2 linked regions of the Cricetulus griseus genome follow. The main gene of each other region encodes a partner of the protein of the gene in region 2 in a complex. Links are inferred from orthologs where the notes say so. Each region holds a gene or a part of one and is shown on either strand. Other genes may lie near its edges.

Region 1 (4,826 bases), on a different chromosome or scaffold from region 2:
GGCAGAGGCAGGAGGGATCTGGATTCCAGGCTAGCGTGGGCTACTTAGCAAGACTCTGTAGGAAAAACACCCACCCATCCATGCCTGGTGGCGCCCGCCTTTAATCCCAGCACTCAAGAGGTAGAGGCAGGCGGATCTCTGAGTTCGAGACCAGCCTGGTCTACAGAGAGTTCCGGGACGGCTAGGATACACAGAGAAACCCTGTCTCAAAACAAAACAAGCAAACAAACAAAAAACAACAACAACAAAACACAGGGAAGGAAGGAAGGGATGGAGGCAGGGAGGGAGGGAGGGAGGGAGGGAGGGGGAGGGAGGAGGGAGGAAATACAAGAGCTAGAGAGGTAGCTCAGCATGTAAGACCACTTGCTGTTTTTGCAAAGGACCAAGTTCAGTTCCCAGCACCCACGTAGGGCGGCTTCTAATAGTCTGTAGCTCCAGTCCAGGGGCTCCGAGGACCTTTTCAGGTCTCTGCTGGCACTAACACAGACAACTCAAAGTAACAACGAAATCTTAGCCGGGTGGTGGTGGCGCACACCTTTAATCCCAGCACTCAGGAGGCAGAGGCAGGCGGATCTCTGTGAGTTCGAGGCCAGCCTGGTCTCCAGAGTGAGTGCCAGGACAGACTCCAAAGCTACAGAGAAATCCTGTCTCGAAAAAACCAAAAACACAAAACAAAGAAACAACGAAATCTTAAAATCTCAGACGTCTAATGTAAGCCCCCTGGAAGCTCAGGCCTCCAGAATCCTTTCCCAGGACTGCGGCCATCCCAATCATCATGAGGAGTCGGAAACTTGATGCAAACAGCAAGAGGCTTTAATGAAAGGTAGACGTTTGTACGAAGGGGCTCTCTCAGCATGCAGGCTAGAGAGCAGCCCCGTCCCCCAGGCACAGGCCTTTTTAAAGGCAAAAACCACAAGCTTAGGGAGGGGTGTGACCAGAGTCACAGGTGCCTAAGAGACCCTTTGTCTTGAGGAGAGGGCTGGGAATCAGATGGCCTCCTGACCCACCAGCTGTAAAACCTGCAGACCTCAGGATATGCTTAGCTTGCTTGAGCAAATGGTACCTATCTCTTTGTTTCACAGGGACACTTAATTGTTAATGATTGACACATTGGCCGGTGGGGCAATCTGTTTTTTTCATGAGCCCCTCGGGGAGGGTGGCCATCTGGGAATTCTTGGTACCCAGTTATATTATGGCCTTGTAAGGGAGTAATTGCTTGCGGCTGGTAAATTCCAGGCCCTAAGTCCTAATAGTGGCCTTAGTTTCCGAGTTAGGCCGCCCTACATTCAGTTTGGAGAGTTTCCTTATCTGGGCTATATTTCTTTGCTAATTTTTAAGTCTTTCACTAGCAAGTGAGAAGCCACACCACCCTTTCTCTACAGCCGGGGCTTAGCCCGGCAGACACACCTGACCGCCCTAGGATTGGGGAGACTTTGTAGCGTGGCTGAGGGCGAGCGTTTAACAGGCTGCTGGGCTGTGTGCGGAGGAAGCAGCTCAAGCGACCGTTTTCCTGAAGATTCACCCCTGCGAGCCACCGAGCTAAGCCAACGGTCCTGAAAAAAAGTATTTTTAATTGACATCTCCGGGGCCTGGGGGAGAGCCGCGCGCTGAAGGGCAGCCAAACAAAAGAGAACCCTGTGCAAACGGCGACGAGCAAATGGCGACGAGCAAATGGCGACGAGCCCGAGTCTCGAACCCGCGACCGCCGCCGGAGCGAGAGCTGCTTTCGGCTTCCGCCGTCGCCTGTGCCCAGCCCGGGCTCTCGGCGGCGGAGGGGACGGGGCGGGGGCGGGGCTCCTGCGCGTCATTAGGCAGCGCCGGAAGCGCGCGGTCCGCGCCGGTAGTGAGTCCGTCACTGAGGACGCGGGGGAACGTTTGTGTGCGTACCGAGACTCTGCTTGGAGCCGCGGAGGTGAGAGATCGGTCTGAGGGCAAAAAAACTGGCTTTAGAAGGTTTTAGAAAGTTCCCGGGTGCCCGGGAGAGCTGGCTCCACGCCGCCTGGGCGCTCGGGAAACGGAGGCAGGGGACTGCCGCCTTCAGCAGACGGACGCCCGGGCTTTGGGGTTGGCTTGGGCGATGAAGTGAGTTCCGGGCCAGCCTGGGCTACCAAGTGGGGAGCCTCTCAAAGAGCCAAATAAACGTAAATAAATGGTCGGTGACTGGGCTGGAGGGGCGGCTCAGAGGTTAAGAGCGCCGATTGCTCCTCCAGAGGTCCCGGGTTCAATTCCCAGCACCCACATGGCAGCTCACAGCTGTCTGCAACTCCAGTTCCAGGGGACCTGACACCCTCACACCAACGCACATAAAATAAAATAAATTTAAAAAATGATTTATGACAAGATCCCCGGCGGAGTTAGCGGATTTTTGTGGGTTTTTTTTTTTTTTAGTTTATTTGTTGTTTGGTTTTTCGAGACAGGGTTTCTAAGTTTATTTTTATTTTTTGTGCATTGGGTATTTTGCATGGATGTCAGCTGGGTGCCCTGGAACTGGGGTTGCACACAGTTGTGAGCTGCTATGTGTGTGCTGGGAATTGAACTCAGGAGGAGCAACCGGTGCTCTTAACCTCTGAGCCATCTCTCCAGCCCCCCCCCCCTTTGCTTCTTAGTGTCGGGAGACGCTGGGCACACAGAGAGCTGTGCTTAGCCTCGGTTTCCCCGAGTGTAAAGAGTGATGCCCTCTGGCACCTTCAAGAGTGTCGTAGACCTTCGAGATGGATTCTGTGTTGTTGAGAATGTGTTTCCTCCTTCAGACCCAGCCCACAGTTGGTGGGGAAGGGGGGGTTTCAAATAAGGAATTATGATTTTTTTCCCCCTCATTCTGTAATACTGGGGTTTGATCCTCGAGCCGCTGTGTTCTGGGCAAACATTCTACACCTGAGATTTTCTCTTCACCCCGGAATCAGGACCTTGCGTAGCTGCTGGGGAAAAGGGAGCCTGGTTGGTTTTGTGTGATGATCTTGTTATTCAAGCTTTGGCTCTGATTTCAGGCACTAGCAATGGACGCGCAGAAAGACGTCCAACCCCCAAAGCAGCAGCCGATGATATATATTTGCGGAGGTAAGATTAACATTTAAGTAGGAACGTTTTTTGTTGTTGTTTTGGTTTTTTGGTTTGTTTGGCTTTTTTTTTTTTTTGCTTTTGTTTTGTTTTTTTGAAACAGGGTTTTTCTGTGGCTTTGGAGCCTATCCTGGAACTCACTCTGTACACCAGGCTGGTCTCCAACTCACAGAGATCCCCCTGCCTCTGCCTCCCTAGTGCTGGGATTAAAGGTATGTGCCACCAATGCCCTGCTTAAGTAGGAACATTTTACCTCAACTTTCCATATATGAGTACTGATCTTCAAAGTTATAAAGCGGAGCACTCAGGAGGCAGAGGCAGGGGGATCTCTGCGAGTTCAAGTGAAACACTTTAGCATCATTAATGTAAAAGTCCCTCGTTAAGATTTGTCTTTTCATCAGGAAAAGGTACGCTGCCGACAGCTCTTTTCTTTCCTCCTTGGTGTATTTAGTTTCGGGGCTTTGACTTGCTCTGGCGAAGTCTGTGGTTATATTTGGTTCCCTGTAGTGTTTCTCTTTCAGGCATTGACTGAACGTGTTTTATTCCCTAGAGTGTCACACGGAAAATGAAATAAAGTCCAGGGATCCAATCAGATGCAGAGAATGTGGATACAGAATAATGTACAAGAAAAGGACAAAAAGATGTATCCTTCTGACTGGGCTTTCTAAACGTAAAGAGGAATAACTAATACTCGGTTGATAAAGACCAAGTTCTGACAAAAGTAGCAACTTTTGGGTTGTTTATTTTTCTAAGCAGATTGAATGTGACTTTATTAATGAAGAGTTTATTAACTGAGAATGTGGGGGGCTCTGAAGGACGTAAATGTATATTATTTTAATATGAATTATTTTTCACCAAACTTGGAGAAAAGAGGCAGGCAGAGCTTTGTGAGTTCAAGGCCAGCTAGAACTACTAAGTGAGACTCAGTGTCAAAAAAAACAAATAGGGGCTAGAGAGACTCGTCAGCAGGCAGGTAAGGGCATCGGCTGTTCTTCCAGAGGACCTGTGTTCTGTTTCTAGCACCAACATAATTACTCATGATCCTCTGTAACTCCAGTTTCGGGGGTCTGATCCCTTTTTCCGACCTCCACCTGTACAAAGGACCCAAGTGTGTGTGTGTGTGTGTGTGTGTGTTTAAAAAACCCTGTAAGTGATTTTAGCTTTTATTTTACTTTTTTTTTTTTAGTTCAAATTAGAAACAAGCCTACTTCGATTGTCAATCCCTGCTCCCTCCTCTCTCTAGCCCTTCACCAACTCACCACATCATCCCCCCCTCTGCTCCCCAGGGAGGGTAAGGCCCTCCATGAGGTATCCCCAAAGTCTGTCATATCGTTTGGGATAGGGCCTAGACCCTCCCCCATGTGTCCAGGCTGAGAGAGCATCCCTCCACGTGGGATGGGCTCCCAAAGTCCTTTTGTACACCAGCTCTTTTTTTTTTAAGTAAACATGATTAGTGTTTTCGTGCCATTCATTATGGGCTCTAAGTAATTAAAAAATTAATCAATTTGGGTTTATGTAAATGTTTTTAGTTTTTTCAGGAATTCTTTGTTAGAAGTAGTCACTCTTGATTGTTAGCTTATGGGTAATCTAAAGTATGGGAGGAGAAATTAATAACCTAGTGGAAAATAGGCCTACAAATTAGTCCAAATACTGAAATTGTTTCAGTGTAACTGACACAGACTCTCAAAATCATCAGTGTTTCAGTGTTTTAAAATATCTTTTTCGTATTATCTTTTAAAATTTACCTATATTGTTATCTTCTGTGTAAT
Region 2 (4,823 bases):
GGGCATGGTGGTGCATGACTATCACTCCAGCAATCAGATGAAAAAGGCAGGAGGATTGCTGCAAGTTTGAGGCCAACCTGCTCTGTGTAGCAAATTCCAGGCTAGTCAAGGCTGATCAACAAGACCCTGTCCTGAGGAGGCCTGGAGGGGGAAGACTATAGCATAGACCTAATTAATGCACACTACAAACACCAGGATCTGCAGCCTTCAATACTCAAAGAGGTTGTGAAACCAGCAGTACTGGAATTATCTGAAAGCTAATTAGAAACAGAGAAAAGAAAGAGAGAAAGAAGGAGAGGAGAGAAAGATGGGAAGGAAAGGGATGGAGCCTCTCATGCCTCAGCTGGCTCTCTGAAGCAATCACTGCATTTAGTAAGAGCTACTAAGCTGCTTAGATCACAATTCCAGGCAACCAGCCCACAAAACTGGCACAGTATCTGTTCAAATAGCCTTTATCCACCTAAGAGAAGACTGCTCTCAGGCCAAGTTCCATCTACCTCTTTATGTTTAGAAGTACAGGACTTGAGATCAGACAGACCTGATTTGCTTCCTTATATCATTACTTAAGAGTTTAATTTCGCCACAGAGAAACCTGGGGGAGGGGGGGCGAGTTTAATTTCTTTGCAATTCAGTGTCCTCACATTTACTGAGGACTAAATTACTGGGAATATAAAACTAAATGAATTTTTCTTTTTAAATGGGAGCTAAATTCTTGGAGCCAAGAAATGCATGGAGAGTAATAAGAAAAGTGCAGGTTTAAGTGTATTTAAAGGTCTGACCCATGCAGCATTCCACCACGGCTTCTTCATATAGTCCTATAGACGTTAACCCACTAAAAGCATTGTCTGCATCTACATTAGATTAAAAATGAAGAAAGATGCCTTTTAAACCTATTACATCAATGCTATAAGGAACCATTTCCATTAAACTCAACAGAAATTTCCTTAACATTTCCTATGTATGTGCTCCTCAATGAGACCACATTTTCTTCATCTGTACGTCCCCAATATTCTGCCAATGCCAAATACAAGTGCTCAGTAAAGAGAACTATATTCATATATATAAATTTATACATGTGTAGTTCATAATATAGACTGTGTATTATTTTTTAAAAAGGGCCAGGCCATGGTGGTGCACGCCTTTAATCCCAGCACTCAGGAGGCAGAGGCAGGCAGATCTCTGTGAGTTCGAGACCAGCCTGGTCTACAAGAGCTAGTTCCAGGACAGCCTCCAAAGCCACAGAGAAACCCTGTGTTAAAAAACCAAAAGAATAAAATAAAATTTAAAAAAAAAAGCTACTTCTTCTAATTTCCTTTTTGTCTCCAGCTGTAAGAAAGAAAAGGGAAACCCCCATCTAATCTTATTACAATATTAGGCACCCTGATTCACACCTGTAACCCTAGCACCTGGAGACTAAGGCAAGAACAACCAGGAGTTCTAAACCAGCCTGAGCTACATGAAGTGAGTTCCAGGCAAGCCAGGGATAAACAGCAAGACCCTGTCTAACAACAATAACAACAACAGAAATTAAGGGGGAGGAAAAATGACCTGGCTTGGTCATTCACTTTGTAGCTGTGTTCAGTCTCGACACTTAGTTGCATTAAAGTGAAAGTGCTGTCCCACTTACCTACAGTCTCTATTCGCTCCTGAAGCCACGGGAAATGCATTCCTGGATTAGAGAACACAGAGGTTTCTCTCTTGCCATCCTCTGCCAAAGCAAGCTTTGTCAATTCTTCATCGAAATCGCTCATATCTATTCCAAACTGAGAGTATCAGTTAGCGTCAGTACACGTTAACCCACAGGCACCTGACTTGAGCTGAAAAGCAATCTTTTCTTGTAGCAAAGTCACCTGAGCAGCAGGGCCCATTGTATCTGACAGTTCTTTTCAAGGAAACACTGAATCTGTTTAAGTCAACAACAGCCTAAACTCAAGTCACATTTTTTAAAAATAGAAGTCTGGGGACTAGAGACGGCTCAGCAGTGAAGAGCACTTGCTGCTTTTCTAGAGGACCTGTGCTGGTTCCCAGCACCCATGTTCATGATCTTCTGGAACCCTAGTCCCAGGGCATACAACCACCTTCACAACAGAACATAGGCACACACATGCAGGCACACACCCACACATGTAAAATAAAAAGTTTCTAAAATCCATAAAACATAATACTGCAAAGCTCTGAACCAAGAACATACAAAAATGAGACATCCTTAATTACAAAGTAAAAAAGCTAAAGCTACATAAAGAAACTGAAGAATACATAACACAATATAGCAAGTACAGTAACAGCAGGAGCTAGTATTTACTGGGACTTAACTACATACTTAGACTATAAAATATCTAATTTAATCGCAGCAGCAACCCTATTCTCTCCCACTTAGTAATGAAAACTGTAGGACTTGCTGGGTGGTGGTGGCAGAGGAAGGAAGGAAGGAAGGAAGGAAGGAAGGAAGGAAGGAAGGAAGGAAGGAAGGCTGAAGGACTTATACAAAATACGTAACATGACCAAAAGGAGTGAAGACAGGAGTCTAGCAAATGCAGAGCACACAGACTAGCTGGTGTGACCAAAAAAATGGCTAGGAGGTGGGCAGGGGGCCATGGCAAATAAATGACTCTACAAAAGCAGCCATATGCCACTGACCTTGGATTGAACTGTCGAAAGGGTGCAGACCCCAGTTCTGAGTACCTATCCGGTATTGAAGCTTCGGGTACTGCGATTTAGAATTCCACCAAACGCCCCTCCTTTCTGCAATCCTACGGCGCCACCCTGGCTCCGGACACCTTCAGACTGGTCCAGGGTGAGTGCTCTGGCGCTGCTGGTGTGTGTGTGTGTGTGTGTGTGTGTGTTTTCCGCGACGCTGGAGACGGGCCCGGGTCTCGAGCCTGCTGACTGGCAGCAGCGTCTCCCTGCGGCGCGGGAGGCTGAGGGTGCGTGGTTAGTCACCGCGCCGCGGGGAGGGCGCAGGGCCAGCCCCGGGGTGCTGCTCCACCTCACCTGGGGGCGGCCGGCCCCGCGAGCGCGCACTAAGCCTTGTAGGAAAGCCGACTCCACCGTGGGGCGCCAAAGCCTGAAGCGACGCCTCAATTCAGTGAGGTCGGCCCCACGGACGCTGCGGACGCCTGACGCGAGCCCCGAGTCCTCAGACTGGCGGCGGCGGCGCCGCCACGGTAACCTAAACCTCCCGGCCCGCAACTGACGCTCCCAGAACCGCGGGGCGCTCACACAGCTCTCCCCGGCGCCACGCTCGCCCGATCGCACGCCGCGGGCTGTCAGGGAAAACCCTCTCCGGAAGTCCTCAGCGAGCGCTTCCTGTGAGCCTGCGCATAACCAGCCGGCCGGCGTTCGGGTAGCGCGCTGCGTAGCCCCGCCCTCCGTCGGGCGTGGCCTGGGGGGAGAGCCCAAGAGCCTCGCCAGAAGAGGCTTGACCCGGAAGTGGGTGTTAGCTTCCGCCTTCGCCTTGGTTTGGCCCTGATTACACCTTGATCTGTGCCAGCCAGAAACTGGAAGGTTCCCATCGCAAGACCGGAGTGTGGCCAGGGGGTGCATTGCCGATTCTGATTGCTGCTCTGAAAGTTATTTTCATTACAGTTTTTAGCATCTTGCTGCCTTCACAGTTGGAGCAAGAGTCCGTGTTTCGCTTATCAACGTGGAGTGTTCTGGCGATCGGCCTGGAGTCCGCTCTCAAGAGGGACATTGGCAGCCGTGTATTGATTATGGAGGTGGATAGTGGAATTGCAGTGTCGTATGAGAAGGGGGACGCTGCGAGGGAAGATGACCCTGAAGACTGGCCTGAGATGTTTGGAAAAATACTCTGTGAAGGACTGATCGGTTAATGGGCAGATTATTACACAGATGTGAACAAGCATTAATGAGTAAAAGCTAAAGGGAGGCAACCTTAAAGTCATTGGGAAAAAAACAATAGTTCATAGTTAAGGCTGCATAAATGATGCAATGGATTCCTCCTAAACTCCGAATTTACTGCTTGAAAATAAGAGTCTGAGTTCCATGGAAATTAGCCGGTCTATCATTACTCCTTGCCCTTAAGCCTGTTTTGGTTTGGTTTTGTTAGAACCCCGGAAAACCTCAGGCCTCCAGGGTCTCAGCCCAGGACTGTGGTCACCCTAATCACCAGGCAGATTCGAAAGCTTGCTGCAAACTGCACAAGGCTTTATTGTTTAACGAGCTCGGATAGCAAAGACAGCTCGAAGAGTCTGCATAGAGATCTTATAGGGCAGCAATAAGGGGAGTGTCTAGGGGTACACACAGGCTCAGGATTGGTGTGCCTCCAGGCTTGGAGGGCTTGCCCTGTGTTGATTGGCCAACTGGTTGTTATGGCCCATAGGCCCTCCCAGGGTGGTTGCCATGCTCTTCAAGCCATTGCTGTGCACTTGTCCATAAAGCACACCCAGAGCCGTAAAGCATAGCGCCACCAGCTAACTTCTGATTGGTTCCTTGCCACAGGCAGGCATCTGACTTTCTAGTGACTAGGACAAGGTCATGGCAAGCACGTGTTACTGTCATGTCTGCCGAAATGGGGAGCTGGTCCCTTCAGTTTGTTTGGGTATTTTTTTGGTGGGGGGGAGGTCAAGACAGGGTTTCTCTGTGTAGCTTTGGAGCCTGTCCTGGAACTAGATCTTGTAGACCAGGCTAGTCTTGGATTCACAGAGACCCACCTTCCTCTGCCTCCAGAATCCTGGGACTAAAGATGTGCTCCACCACCGCCTGCCTTAACCCTGCTATTTTTGTTGTTGCTGTTTTTGTTTTGCTTTATTTTGGATTTTCTGAGACGAAGTCTCTATATAGCCCGAGCTATTCTGGAACACACT

The links.
Region 1: Taf1a (region 2) and Polr2k share a complex: the UniProt entries of both Homo sapiens proteins name them as parts of the pol I pre-initiation complex. The link is inferred for Cricetulus griseus from reciprocal best matches to the Homo sapiens genes TAF1A and POLR2K.

The regions. Positions count from the first base shown.
Region 1 is NC_048603.1:15,288,145-15,292,970, reverse strand, and holds the start of Polr2k (DNA-directed RNA polymerases I, II, and III subunit RPABC4), read left to right. Parts: upstream 1-1,815; 5' UTR 1,816-1,912; intron 1,913-2,987; 5' UTR 2,988-2,996; coding exon 2,997-3,057; intron 3,058-3,607; coding exon 3,608-3,700; intron 3,701-4,826. UniProt on the Homo sapiens protein: DNA-dependent RNA polymerase catalyzes the transcription of DNA into RNA using the four ribonucleoside triphosphates as substrates.
Region 2 is NC_048598.1:11,100,546-11,105,368, forward strand, and holds the start of Taf1a (TATA box-binding protein-associated factor RNA polymerase I subunit A), read right to left. Parts: upstream 3,297-4,823; 5' UTR 2,992-3,296; exon of another isoform or gene 2,638-2,991; intron 1,764-2,637; exon of another isoform or gene 1,754-1,763; 5' UTR 1,752-1,753; coding exon 1,628-1,751; intron 1-1,627. UniProt on the Homo sapiens protein: Component of the transcription factor SL1/TIF-IB complex, which is involved in the assembly of the PIC (pre-initiation complex) during RNA polymerase I-dependent transcription.